2 linked regions of the Drosophila melanogaster genome follow. The protein of the gene in region 1 interacts with the protein of each later gene in a biochemical or structural test. Each region holds a gene or a part of one and is shown in the gene's direction. Other genes may lie near its edges.

What was found.
Region 2: the proteins of DIP-iota (region 1) and dpr4 form a complex in vitro, tested with the Drosophila melanogaster proteins (one study listed by BioGRID).

Annotation. Positions count from the first base shown.
Region 1 is NT_033779.5:6,616,449-6,623,504, reverse strand, and holds DIP-iota (Dpr-interacting protein iota), read left to right. Parts: upstream 1-1,804; 5' UTR 1,805-1,994; coding exon 1,995-2,079; intron 2,080-4,058; exon of another isoform or gene 4,059-4,425; intron 4,426-5,086; coding exon 5,087-5,330; intron 5,331-5,389; coding exon 5,390-5,745; intron 5,746-5,798; coding exon 5,799-6,080; intron 6,081-6,140; coding exon 6,141-6,212; intron 6,213-6,273; coding exon 6,274-6,365; 3' UTR 6,366-6,371; downstream 6,372-7,056. Other genes in the region: CG34345 (uncharacterized protein), read right to left, coding at 1-101, 162-382; CG11050 (uncharacterized protein), read right to left, coding at 6,992-7,056.
Region 2 is NT_033777.3:11,539,720-11,544,737, reverse strand, and holds the start of dpr4 (defective proboscis extension response 4), read left to right. Parts: upstream 1-1,788; 5' UTR 1,789-2,671; intron 2,672-4,636; 5' UTR 4,637-4,758; coding exon 4,759-4,831; intron 4,832-5,018.

The DNA of each region.
Region 1 (7,056 bases):
GAGCCCGCCTTAAAAGTCCAAAGGAATTTAGGGGATTGGACACATATTTATATCGATCCACCTTGTGATCCAAATAATTCGGAGTTAAAGAATTAATAAAACTATGTGAAAGTTAAAGTGTAATTCTAGTTTTAAGAGAGGAATTAAAATATATATCATACATTCTGAGAGTTTTGATTTTTTGTTGCAGAAAGCTAACATAGTTGTTTAAATGCTCCATATAGGAATTCTCAATCTCGCGAAGTTCAGACAGGGCTCGAATGGAATTTGAGTATATTACTTCCTGTACTACATCATTTTCGGCTTTCTTTGCTTTGCAAACTGTGAATAGGAATAATAAAATCCAGTTCAGCAGAATATAATGAAATGATCTTAGCAACATTCTGCTGCGAAAACTATATTTTTTCATTTCCTAACGAAGATACTACATTTTAAATTGATTTATATCGCTTATTCGTCAGGCCTATTTTAAATGCTGCGGTGATTGATACACTTAAGTTACACATATACACTGTTTGTATATTTAGCTTAATATAATTTAGTATTTCCCTAACAAGCCTCATAGAACATATTTCATGAGTGATTCTTGTTTCAAAAAATAGTTGTAAATTCGCTTACTTCTTTTAACAGCGCTACACAACACTATAACTTTTAGCAAAGTTATACACCGCCATAATTTTATTGTTAGGTAACATCGGAGTTGTAAACCATTTCTGTTTGCTTTTTCGAAATTTGATTTCGAGTTTCTACACAGTTAGCCAAGACACATACTTTTCATGTGTAAGTAAAAGTAAGGAAAGTTTATTTGAAAGGCTTTATTATACATCAAGCAGAAACAATTTGAAATTATCGGCAGTTTTTTAAATAAATAATTTTTAAATAATGAAAAAGTATGTTAAATCCACTAAACTAACAATTCTTGAATTTAAGTCTATTTTAAAAATATACATAACTAGTCAAGGCAATCTAATGTACGTATTGCCATTCAGATACTCTAAAACGTAAGTTTATTTTGCTGACTAATCAAATTATGAAACAAAGGTAGGATTTATCAATCACTTAGACTTCAAGATTGCATAAAAACACACTCAAATTTTAGCAAAATATTATTTAATTAAGACAGAGGCTCTGACTCAGAGGCCAGAATGAAGAAACGAAGAGAAACTTGCATGGGCCAGCAAAAGATGTGCCCCTAGGGAAAACAACAATCAAGCAAATTCCACGTGCTTATTATGATTATTGTTATCGCTATTGAAAAGCGCTAATTGTGCGCAAATAGCGGTGCGAACTTAATGCCAACTTACCGAGAAGCTCACACATGCAAACCAAGCCAGTTGGAAGTGCAAGCATCGCAGAAAAGCAGAGGAGCAGCAGCTGGAATCCGGAGGGATATGGGGGATACGGGTGAAAGTTGGGCAGAAGATGCGCGGCATTTCGGGGTTAATTAGAATGGTATTGGAGTTGGCCTTTATTCTCCGCCGCCCACAAAAAAATCACCAATAATGTGTCACTTTCCCCCGGCAACATGTCGTATACTTCATATCGTCACGTGCATATGAAAATATTACGTCGGGCGGTTTATGAATGAAACATTTACTATTGCACAGCACCGTCTTTCGGCTGCCGGGCACCTTGACTACTACTGGGCTACAACCATACCCACTAGACACACTAGAACCACCCAACCACCACCCACTACCTTCGCAAGGCCGCAGGACACATGCGCAACGCCAGTGCCGCATTTGAATTTTGAATATGAGTTTTGACACTTGATTATCAGTTCGCGACCAGTTGTACGGGTGTGCGGACGTTTGGCCACGGCAATCGGCGGAAAAAACTTCATCCGCAGAAGCGGAAAAAATACATTTGCGCTGTTGCGGCGGAAGTTGAACTTCGGCCATTTGGGCAGTGAAAGTGGCAGAGTTAAAAATTAAAGTGGGAAATCAGCAAATATTCAAAAGTTTCGCACCTTGATTGCGGTTGAGTTTTCGGCTATGGGAAGGCGATTGCCCAGCTTTTGGCTGCTGCTCCTGCAGAGCGTGTGTTTCAGCCAGGCCAGCTTTTCGGAGCTAAACAATTGTAAGTGGATCGAGGATGTGATTAACTAAAGGATAAATAAATCTGATTGCTAATAATGAAATTAGTCAGAAATATAAGATTTACTTTGAATGAAATGCATAACCCATTAAATATTAAATTAAACATTTTAAGGATAGTTTTTCTCGATTAATATGACGTTTTTTGAATGTTGTACAATTAAAAAGTATCCTGTTTACAAGCTGAACTTTTGTAACCCGCCAACACGAAATGATGAACCCAAAAGTGTACAGCTAATTGACTGCAAACTATCTAAAGCCGGAGTGGTAGCGTATAAAATGGAAGGTAGCTGGTAATCGGAAGTCCAACGAGTCCATAAGTGAATAAACTGTGGCCAACATATTCCCCAGACGGGACAGACAGGATGGCGGTGATAGGGAAAGGGAGCGGGCAGAGGGGTTTCCGGTGGAGAGCTGCGAAAGAGTAACGAGGGGTAACTTCCGCTGGGGAAAATGTGCGCCGAATAAAAAAAACAAAACAAATTTTCCTTGACTTTGGCGAGCCAAATGCGATAAATATATCAAAATTCGACAAAATTCGCATTTAAATCAATGTGCCAGATGCAAAGTAAACATAAATATTGGCAGGCTAGCCGCAGCGTGCGATAAGAAAGTGAGAAGTGGCTCAAAGGAGTGATGATGCACCGCACCGCACGATGTTCCGTGCCAACCAACCAACTCCCACCACCCACCACCCACCGCACAGCGGGCAGGCAGACAGACAGTCGCGGAAAGGCGACGTTTTCCCACTTCCTATTGCACTCTGCGATATTTTCGTTTCATTTTTTTTTCTATTCCTGGCCGGCGGTTTCTGCCGCTGAAGTGCCGCGTTTTTCGGTTGGCGGTTGCGGGTGTGGAACTGCCACTGCAGTGGGTTATTTCGCAGTTTTTACTTAACTTTTTGGCAGACATTGCGTGCTGATTGTGATTGTGATTCCTTTCGCCGGCAGACAGCTGGAGTGTCTAACAGGAGACAGGACATTCACTTTCCGTTTCAAGTTCAAGTGGCGTGGGGAAAGGACACGGCCGGATTTGCAGCGACTTCGCGGGGAAAATGCGGCTTAAGTCCTGGCCGAGCGATTCAAGCGATTCCAGCGATACAAGTCGTGCAAGAAAACAGGAAAATATATTTAACAACTCATAGTCAATTTCCCCTTATAAAATGTGGCAACAACAAAGGCGGTGCGGTGGCGAAAAAGTTAAATGCTAAATTACGCTACCTTGCAGACATAAATAAAAGAAGAAAAGTTTAACTATATGAACACACATGTATGAGTACACTCAGAATAATTTCAAAAGTAGAAATCAAAAGTAAGATATTATACATAATTACTTACCTTGTAGTTTTGTTAGCGTTTTATGTTCATTGCTCCTTTATGCATAAAAAATCTAATCAAAATCTGTTGATGCAAATATATTATTGAAATTTTTGTTTTTTTTATATTAGTTCTTTAGCTTATTATACTTTTATTTCCAGTGCAAAGTACGTTTGTGTTTTATGGCTTAAAAAGTCTCGCTCGTCCCTTTCTTCGGAATGTTTCAATATGCAAACATGCAATAACCAAATTGCAATACCAACAAAAACAGAAACCATATCAACTGAAGGCAGTCAAACAATGGCGCCTCGTTCCCCACACTCAGAGCAACTGAAGGCGGAGCCTTCGGACTCGGACTCCAAAAAAAAAGCGCCCAACTTGCGGCCAGACCCAAACATAATCGCAAATTATAGGCTCTATGGCATGGCATCCGTAGGCTACCCAATTTGATGCTAGTTTGGTGGATACCCCCCCCACACAACGCAATCAATTCGTGGTGGATGGGGGGGGTATACATAAAGGTGTAGCACAGCTTTTTACAATTTTCCAGGTACCAGCACCTGCTGCCCCCCAACCAACACACACACACATACCGCGCTCTATTAGATTTTTGCATTTTTTCGGGTTATTATTTGGTCATAATTGTAATTTAGGCGTTTGCTGGAACAGGAACAGTAGCTGGAACTGGATTCCTCGTCTCCTGGCCACAGAGTCGTGCTACTTGTTAGGCATGTGATGTGATTTCTTCCATTACTCCTGCCTCCAGCCCATTGTTGTGTTTGCGATGGTGTGGGTGGGTTCGGTTTGCGGTTGGAACTCTGGTGGTTAGATTGGCTGACGGCAACTGTCGAAGTCCTGCGGTCGGGCACCTTGACTCAAAATTATTGCGATGGGACTCGAGTTGGCCGAAGCAACAACACGCCGGAAAGCAGTAGTTTGAGTTCATAGTGTGTGAACCCAACGTGTTTATGCTATTATTTACGATAAAATCAAAACATAACTATCCCGCTGTTCAATATTATGTATGTACAATACATGAGGTACTATTTTTGAGTAAAAGTGCTCAGAAAAGAATCCATAACCAAATCATAGGTTTAAGATGATGTTCAAAACTATTGTTTCTATATATATATAATATAATCAACATATTTTACTGATTCAAAAATAGCTTCGTTTTGCTAGTTTTACAATTTGTTAGTGTTGAAGCTACTCTATTTTGCCAGAATGTAGCTGACATCTATAATTTATCTAATTATTGGATTATCTGCCGCTGTCTCGGCCTAATGTTAACCTCAAGAAATTTATGGCCGTTAAACAATTTTAAATATCGTTGACCATTTCGGCGGGCCATCTGGCAACAAACTTGGCCTAGTCTGCGTTGACATTCTGCAGAGACACGCAAAAATGTGCGAGGATAAGAAATGAAATAATTATCCTGATAATTGTGGATTAGAAAAGCTGCACATAAAAAAAGGTTATTTTTTAATTGAATTAAATGTTTGGCGTCTGAGTTCCATTAAAATACAGCAAATGCCAGTGCCTCACATTTGCAAGCCCCATAAACCACCCCAAAAGCCACCCAGCAGTTGTATATCGTCGCCCCATTTAGCGCCCTAATGATGAAAGCCATAAATGCCAAACCATTGGGCTTGGTGCCACCATCTTCCTTTGCAGCGGATCCCAAGTTCAGCGGTCCAATCAACAACTCAACAGTTCCCGTGGGACGGGATGCCCTACTCACGTGTGTTGTCCACGACCTGGTTAGCTTCAAGGTGGCCTGGCTGCGAGTGGACACGCAGACGATACTGAGCATCCAGAACCACGTCATCACCAAGAACCATCGCATCTCCATCTCCCACACGGAGCATCGGATCTGGCAGCTAAAAATACGCGATGTTCAGGAATCGGATCGCGGATGGTGAGTGAAAGTATCTATCAGATAGATGGACCATATTCTTCTACTAGCGTTTACCGTAGGTACATGTGCCAAATCAACACGGATCCCATGAAGAGCCAAATGGGCTACCTGGATGTGGTGGTGCCGCCAGACATTGTAGACTATCAAACCAGTCAGGATGTGGTTCGTTCCACGGGACAGAACGTAACACTCACTTGCAGTGCAACGGGAGTGCCCATGCCCACCATCACCTGGCGTCGCGAGGAAGCGACTCCGATACTGATTTCAGACGACGGCGATCGGGAAGTGTTCAGCGTGGAGGGTCAGAATCTCACCCTGTGGCAGGTGCAGCGCTCCCACATGGGCGCCTATCTCTGCATCGCCTCCAACGGAGTGCCACCCACAGTGAGCAAACGCGTCATGCTGGTGGTGAATTGTATGTGTGAACAAAGAGTTGGATTCAATATATAATACTGAGTTATCTTTCAGTTGCGCCCACGATCTGGACACGCTACGATACCATCTACGTGGGCCTGGGCCAGAAGCTGACGCTGGAGTGCATCACAGAATCGCAGCCGGCATCGGTGAACTTCTGGCTGAGGGATTCGCAATTGCTGCAAGGAGGTTCCTACGAGTCGGTCTCAGTGGACCACGTCTTCCGGATCGTGATGCGGATCACCCTGCGTCCAATAACGAAAAGAGATTTCGGAGAGTACATATGCAGGGCAAAGAATGCGATGGGTCAGACAGATCGGATTATAACCGTGCACCGTAAGTGAGATTATATTTCGGTTACTTAATCCCTTAGATGTAACAAATGTTGACCACCAGATAAGGCCAAGAAGCATGGACAGCACTCGCATCAAACTTCCTCCCGCGAAAGTCAGTTCATTGTCATCGAAGGTTTGTTTGTTCTACAATAAATAGAGTCGCGATAAAGATAACTAGCTAAATCTTATTGCAGAATACATCGCAAATATGTCTGATAAGAGCTGCAGTTTCCAACCGCTTTGGATAATGTTTCTATGTTTCGTCAATAAAGTGTCACTTTTGTGAGCAATCAAACAATGTGTGCTTTGTCTTTTGGCCACGTCTAATGAGTGACTTCATCTTTATATTGCCTAATTCACAATGTTATATTAATAATAATTTTGGTGACAATTGTTCGATTCAAGGGTAAAAGTAACGCACGTGTGAGCAAACTATTAAAAAAAAATCAATTAATTTGATTTTGATTCTGATCTTTTGTTTTGATTTTTACGTTCGGTTGACTGAATAAAATTGCTTTAGGACAACATTTACAATAATTTTTTTCTAAATAGTCTACAATTCGTTTAAGTTATTTACAATTGGATTCCTTAGTCAGATCAATTGAATATATCGATAGAATTCGATCCGCAACTTTACGCTTAACTTAGAGGAAATCGAACTAAGGAGACGTGTTCAACAGGTGTGTTAATATTTAAACATTAATATTTAGCTACTTCCCATCGGTTGCATCTGTTCCGTTTCTTTCGCAATAAATTAGTGAGTTAAGAATTAGATCTAGCTATGAGCGTGTCGAGGTAGGCTTAACAGTTTGTTAGTTGGATTGGCTTACAAATTAAGAGCGTGTTGGTTTGTATGTGAGGATGTGTTCATGTGTTCATGTGCTAGCCTAAGACGGGTTTCTAGAATAACGCTCAACTCGAGCCGTCATGCCCGTTAGCAAGTTTCGAAGATCTCTCCATGCTAGGCACCTCGATGG
Region 2 (5,018 bases), on another chromosome or scaffold:
AAGTTATAGGATCATGGCCATAAAATTCAAAGATTTGATGCCTTTTTTTAATCGCCTTAAAAACTCAATTTGTAATAGTATCTCAAAGAGTTCGCCTAATCCAACTGATTATTATCAGATTTGATATTAAATCATAATTCTATAATTATCCAGATCGCTTCTTCCTGTGTTCCGTTTGACCTGATTGCGTGCTAACTTAATTATAGAAATTGTAAACTGCTTAGTGCGGCTCTGCCTCCGTTCTGGTCAACTCGATGTATTCCCATTTCAATTGTTTGGTAATGGAATTCTATAATCAAATGTCAACTCGTGGCAACACACACTCACACACACACACACACGCACAATTGGGAGGGTCAAAACAACTTTAATCATTCGTAATGGCCGCTAGGTGGCGTGTCAATTACAGGGCCATTGTCTGTCAATTTTCTGTTGCATTGGCTCGCTGTTTCTCTACATTGCTATCTCATTCGCTCGCCAGCCACCTATCTCTGTCCGTTTGAGTGCGTCTGTCTCTTTCGCCGGCGCCGTGCTCATTTGCATTGCGATGTTTTGAGGCCTACAGGGCATTCCCCAGTCAAGCACACTCGACTTTATCGGCCTTCGACTGGGTGGGCATTTTATTTATGAGCTCGTAAGGCATGCGTTGAAATGCCCGTTCCGAGTTTTCTGAATACGGATGGGTTGCGGGGGTAGTGGGTGTACTTGCGGGTGTACTGGGGAAGGATGGTTGAGAGGGAGGTTGGGGGGTGGCTACGCTTTCGACAGCCACATTTGTGGCCATAACACGCAACATTTGACATGGTCGGCGCAGCAACGACGACGAGGTACAGGTGTTGGTCGTACCCCCAAACACCCATAGACCCCATAAGCCCCTTAAACCCTCTTATAGCCCTTATAGCGCTTTTAGCCTACAGCCTATACCACGTTTTCTAGTCCCTTAACGAAGCCACACAAATCTCTCTCGAGTGCGACGCATGGACATAAACTGAAATTGGCCTATAACTGTCTGTTCAATTGTTTTTGCGCGAATGGAGGGGGCGATGGGTGCGGTACGGTTCGATGGCGTATAAACTAAAAGGATTCCCATGGCTATACCTATGGCTAAACCAATACCTATATATTGCGGTAAAAATCACATTTACATGGCCCGGGTGTAAATCATTCATGTGCGAGAAAGACACAAAAAAGTGCGGGTTGCCTGTGCCCCGAAATGTAGACTATATTAATATGCCAAAACGAAGGCGTCTCTACTACGAATATTCATTTGTACGTGACTATGGAGCATATTAGGTTCGTCTGGCCACGATTTCCACCACTCGGATTTCGATTCGGCACGACTGTTACCAGTCGGTCTCGCATTGAGGCAGGTTGTGCTAATAACCCAGATAGTACAGATGGCGAAAGCCCAAGAGAGAGAGAGAGAGAGAGAGCGAGGGAGAAAGAGAGACTGCGACGGAGGAAGGATGGAGAGCAAAACGATCCGGCTTGGTGGTTAGCTGGAAAACCAAAGTACGACCGAGTCGTGTTGAAAAACGGAAAGCGACGAAATAAAGAAAAGAAAATAAACCCTTGCCTTAAAATAAAACCGCTCATCAGGCATGCAAAGAAAGCGACATCAAATGGATGGCGAATTAATATTTGATATGCTCTGACTTTCGGGGAAATCCTCTCGCATCCACAGAGGTCCTTTTTGTCGTGCGCCTGCGTGGGAGAGCACCTTTCGGAGTCTCGCGATTCGGAGTCGCGGTGCAAGTTCCTTGCGCTCGCCGAGATGGAATCGAAATCAGTTCCAGCACGCGAATCCTGATGCAAGGATGCCCGTGAACGCTGCTCCGTTGTTGCCGTCGGATAAATCACTCATACGGGAAGGGAAGCACCGGGAAAAGGGAAAGTGCTAGCAGAAGCAGCAGGAGCAGCAACACCATCGCCACATAGCATTGTGCCACATTTAAAAATGAAAACAGACGAAGGAATGAAGTGAAGGCAGAAGCCAAAAGCCGTTTAATAACTAAATCCCACGGACCCATCGTTGGTCACGTTCTGAGACGGATACACAAAATGCCTCTCTCCGCGTATCCTTCGAACTTGTGTGTGTGTGCGTCAGTAACTGTGACTGTGTCTGTGTGCTTCCCTCTGTCTCAGTGTAAGTGTGCATACCTATAGGGCTCTGGCTGGCACCTAATGTGGCCAACATACACATACGCACTTTGCCGACTAAACGAATATAATAATACAAAGCACACGTCCTTGTCGCTCAACTCGCTGTCATCGTGTGCGTGCGTGTCCGTGGATCCATGTGTCCATGTGTCCACTTCCGCCGAACGGATATATTTTCGAAATCCGCGCTATTAAGTAAGCCAGTAAGCCAGACCAGAAATAAACCTGTGTTTGCGATTGGGCCACTTTTTTGACCATTGTTGAACCGAATTGATTGGTGAACTGTGACGTTGGTGAATTGTTGCGGCATTGTTGAATGCCAATCGTTATTGTGCAACTGTTGAATGAGCCATGCCAGCAGGCCCGCCTAATTATTGCGCATTGCGCAACCGAATGTCAAAGCCAAGATCGAGTGTAACGCAGTTGTAAAATCACAGAGCTCAAGGATTTTGCCCGTTTGGATTACGCAGAGGATGACGGTGGTGTCATTTGGAAGTCATTGCCGAGACCCGTAAGTGAAGGAATTTAATTTAATGCGGCACAAGGACGAGCTGGGGAAAAACAAACAATAAATAGGGTCCTGGCTGACTGGCCAAACTGCGGTTGCCCTTTGTCCGCCGTTTCCGTTTGACAGGCCTGAAAAGTTAGGCAAAAGAACAACAGAATAATGTTGTTCCCGGGCAGGCAACGCAAAACAAAAAACTTTTGTTTAATTTCCATGGAGAGTCGAAAGGGCGCCGGCATACGGGGAACTGTTCGGCTAGGCGATAATTCCGCTGTAATAGCTGCGAAAAAATGAAGCCCGCCGTGCCAACCTCTTTTATTATTATATTCCCGGGAAAAAAAAACAAGGAAAACCAGGCACCAGGCAACCGAAAAGCCGTCGGCCGAAAGGCCAAAAGTGACCAAAACAAATGGCTTGGTCCTAGGAGCGGACTGCTGACCCTTGGAGTCACGCAGCTAATTGGACTGACAACAAATGTATATTTTTGAGTAATGACCGGGATTATGAAAGACCGCTCTAGGACCCTACCCTTACTGCCCCCTTTCGCCACGAGCTGACTGATTACCGAGTTTGAGTCATAAATAATGAGAGGGACACCCACGACGAGGACTCGGGGGTATCCTGGCACCAGACTGACAAATTCGCCAAAGGGAAGTCGACTGGGAAAGGAAGTCTGTGAAAGCAATATCGAGTTTATCCCGATAAAACTATATAGTTGACAAGGTCGTTTAGCCAGGAGCTCAGCTTGGGGAAACTTTTTAATTTCATCCTTCACGAAGTTTTCGACTTTTGCCTTAGTTTTCCATTCGGTGCGGGGGTATACCCCCTCCACCTCCCTCACACACCATCCTTTTGAGTTCCCCTTGTAATTGCTTTACCCACATTGCAATGCAATATGACTGACTCCCTGCTTTTGGGTCGTGGAAAGTAATCCCCCCCCCCCCACCAACGACCATGAATGCATTTTCTGTGGCGAATCTGAAACGCATTTTCTTGCCCTGGCAACCAAGTCGAAACCAAAAGCTCAGGCTACATCCGGCATTAACCTCATTAACCCGACATTCAGCACAACCGTTTCCCATTTCCCATTACACTGGCCTGCGATGGCTCTTGTTCTGTTAATTGGAATTGTGGTGCAGTGAGGTCCATAAATATGCACACATAAGTCGCCTTGAATCAATAATTTATGCTTAATTGTTGGATTCTGGAAGAGATCCACAGCATAATGGTGTGCGCAATTGGTTCGATTGAATCTGTTTGGGATATTTTGGCTCGTAATATATATAATATAATTATATATTCTTGGCAATAGGAAAACGCAGCTGCCATTTGCCAGGCAACCAGTAATTTGCTGACCCAGTTATAAAGCTAATTTCAACTCGTTTCTATATTAATTAAATTAGATAGCCATAGAATGGTTGCACTTTTTTCAATAAACAAGCCAATTTTGTTTCAGCTTTAATTGAATATTTTGCCGTGCGTAATTGCAGTGCGTAGTTGTGGGAAAAATATTCTTAATAGTTGGTTTTGAATGGAAAACTAGCAACTGAATTTTGTAATTTTGTTTGAATTATATCGAATAATCATATAATTTGCATGAATTTTACTTTATTATTCATTGCTCATTTAATATTTAACGCTGTATTATGGCTAAATTGTGGCACATGTATATATATATATATTAAGTTTATTGTTATTATTCAATCGTTTGGCCATCTCGGAGTAATGAAACGCACTGTACTAAACAATTGCCGTGATGGGTAGGCAATTTTCCGGCCGACGAGAATGCCATATTGACTTGACCCACTCCGCCCAGTAGTAACCGCCCCCCATCATATTCCGGATATATATCTGGCTTTCATCATTTGCCCGGCAAATTACTTTGCCATTCCCCCAGTTATTTTCCAGGCGTGTCCTTCGCCACTGGTACCATAAAAAAGAGCCCTGGTAATAATATTTCCTCCTTTGCAGATTATTAAACCTTAAACCGTAAACGGAGCAAATACAACAGCCGGCAGGAGCGGAGGATTCCTCATCGCCCTCATCGAAGTAGCTAGCAGCCGTAGTAGCAGTCCGAGTGGAGAGCATAAAACATGTGGACAACGGACTGCCCGAGAGCGTTGAAAGCGATTTGCTTGGTGCCGCTGTGGCTGCTCCTCTTCCTCGGTGGGTATTCCTCCATGAAATTGCACGGCGAAAAAATGTAGGTGTAATCTGTTCAGTAATAGGCAATGCAAAAGGAAAAAGGATCAAAGCCGCAGACGGTTTATAGCCTCATAAATCGCTGAGAGTGAATGTAGTTAGTTTAAAAATGTACAGGCTTTTAAGTGCTCTTCACTGTCCTATTCATTTT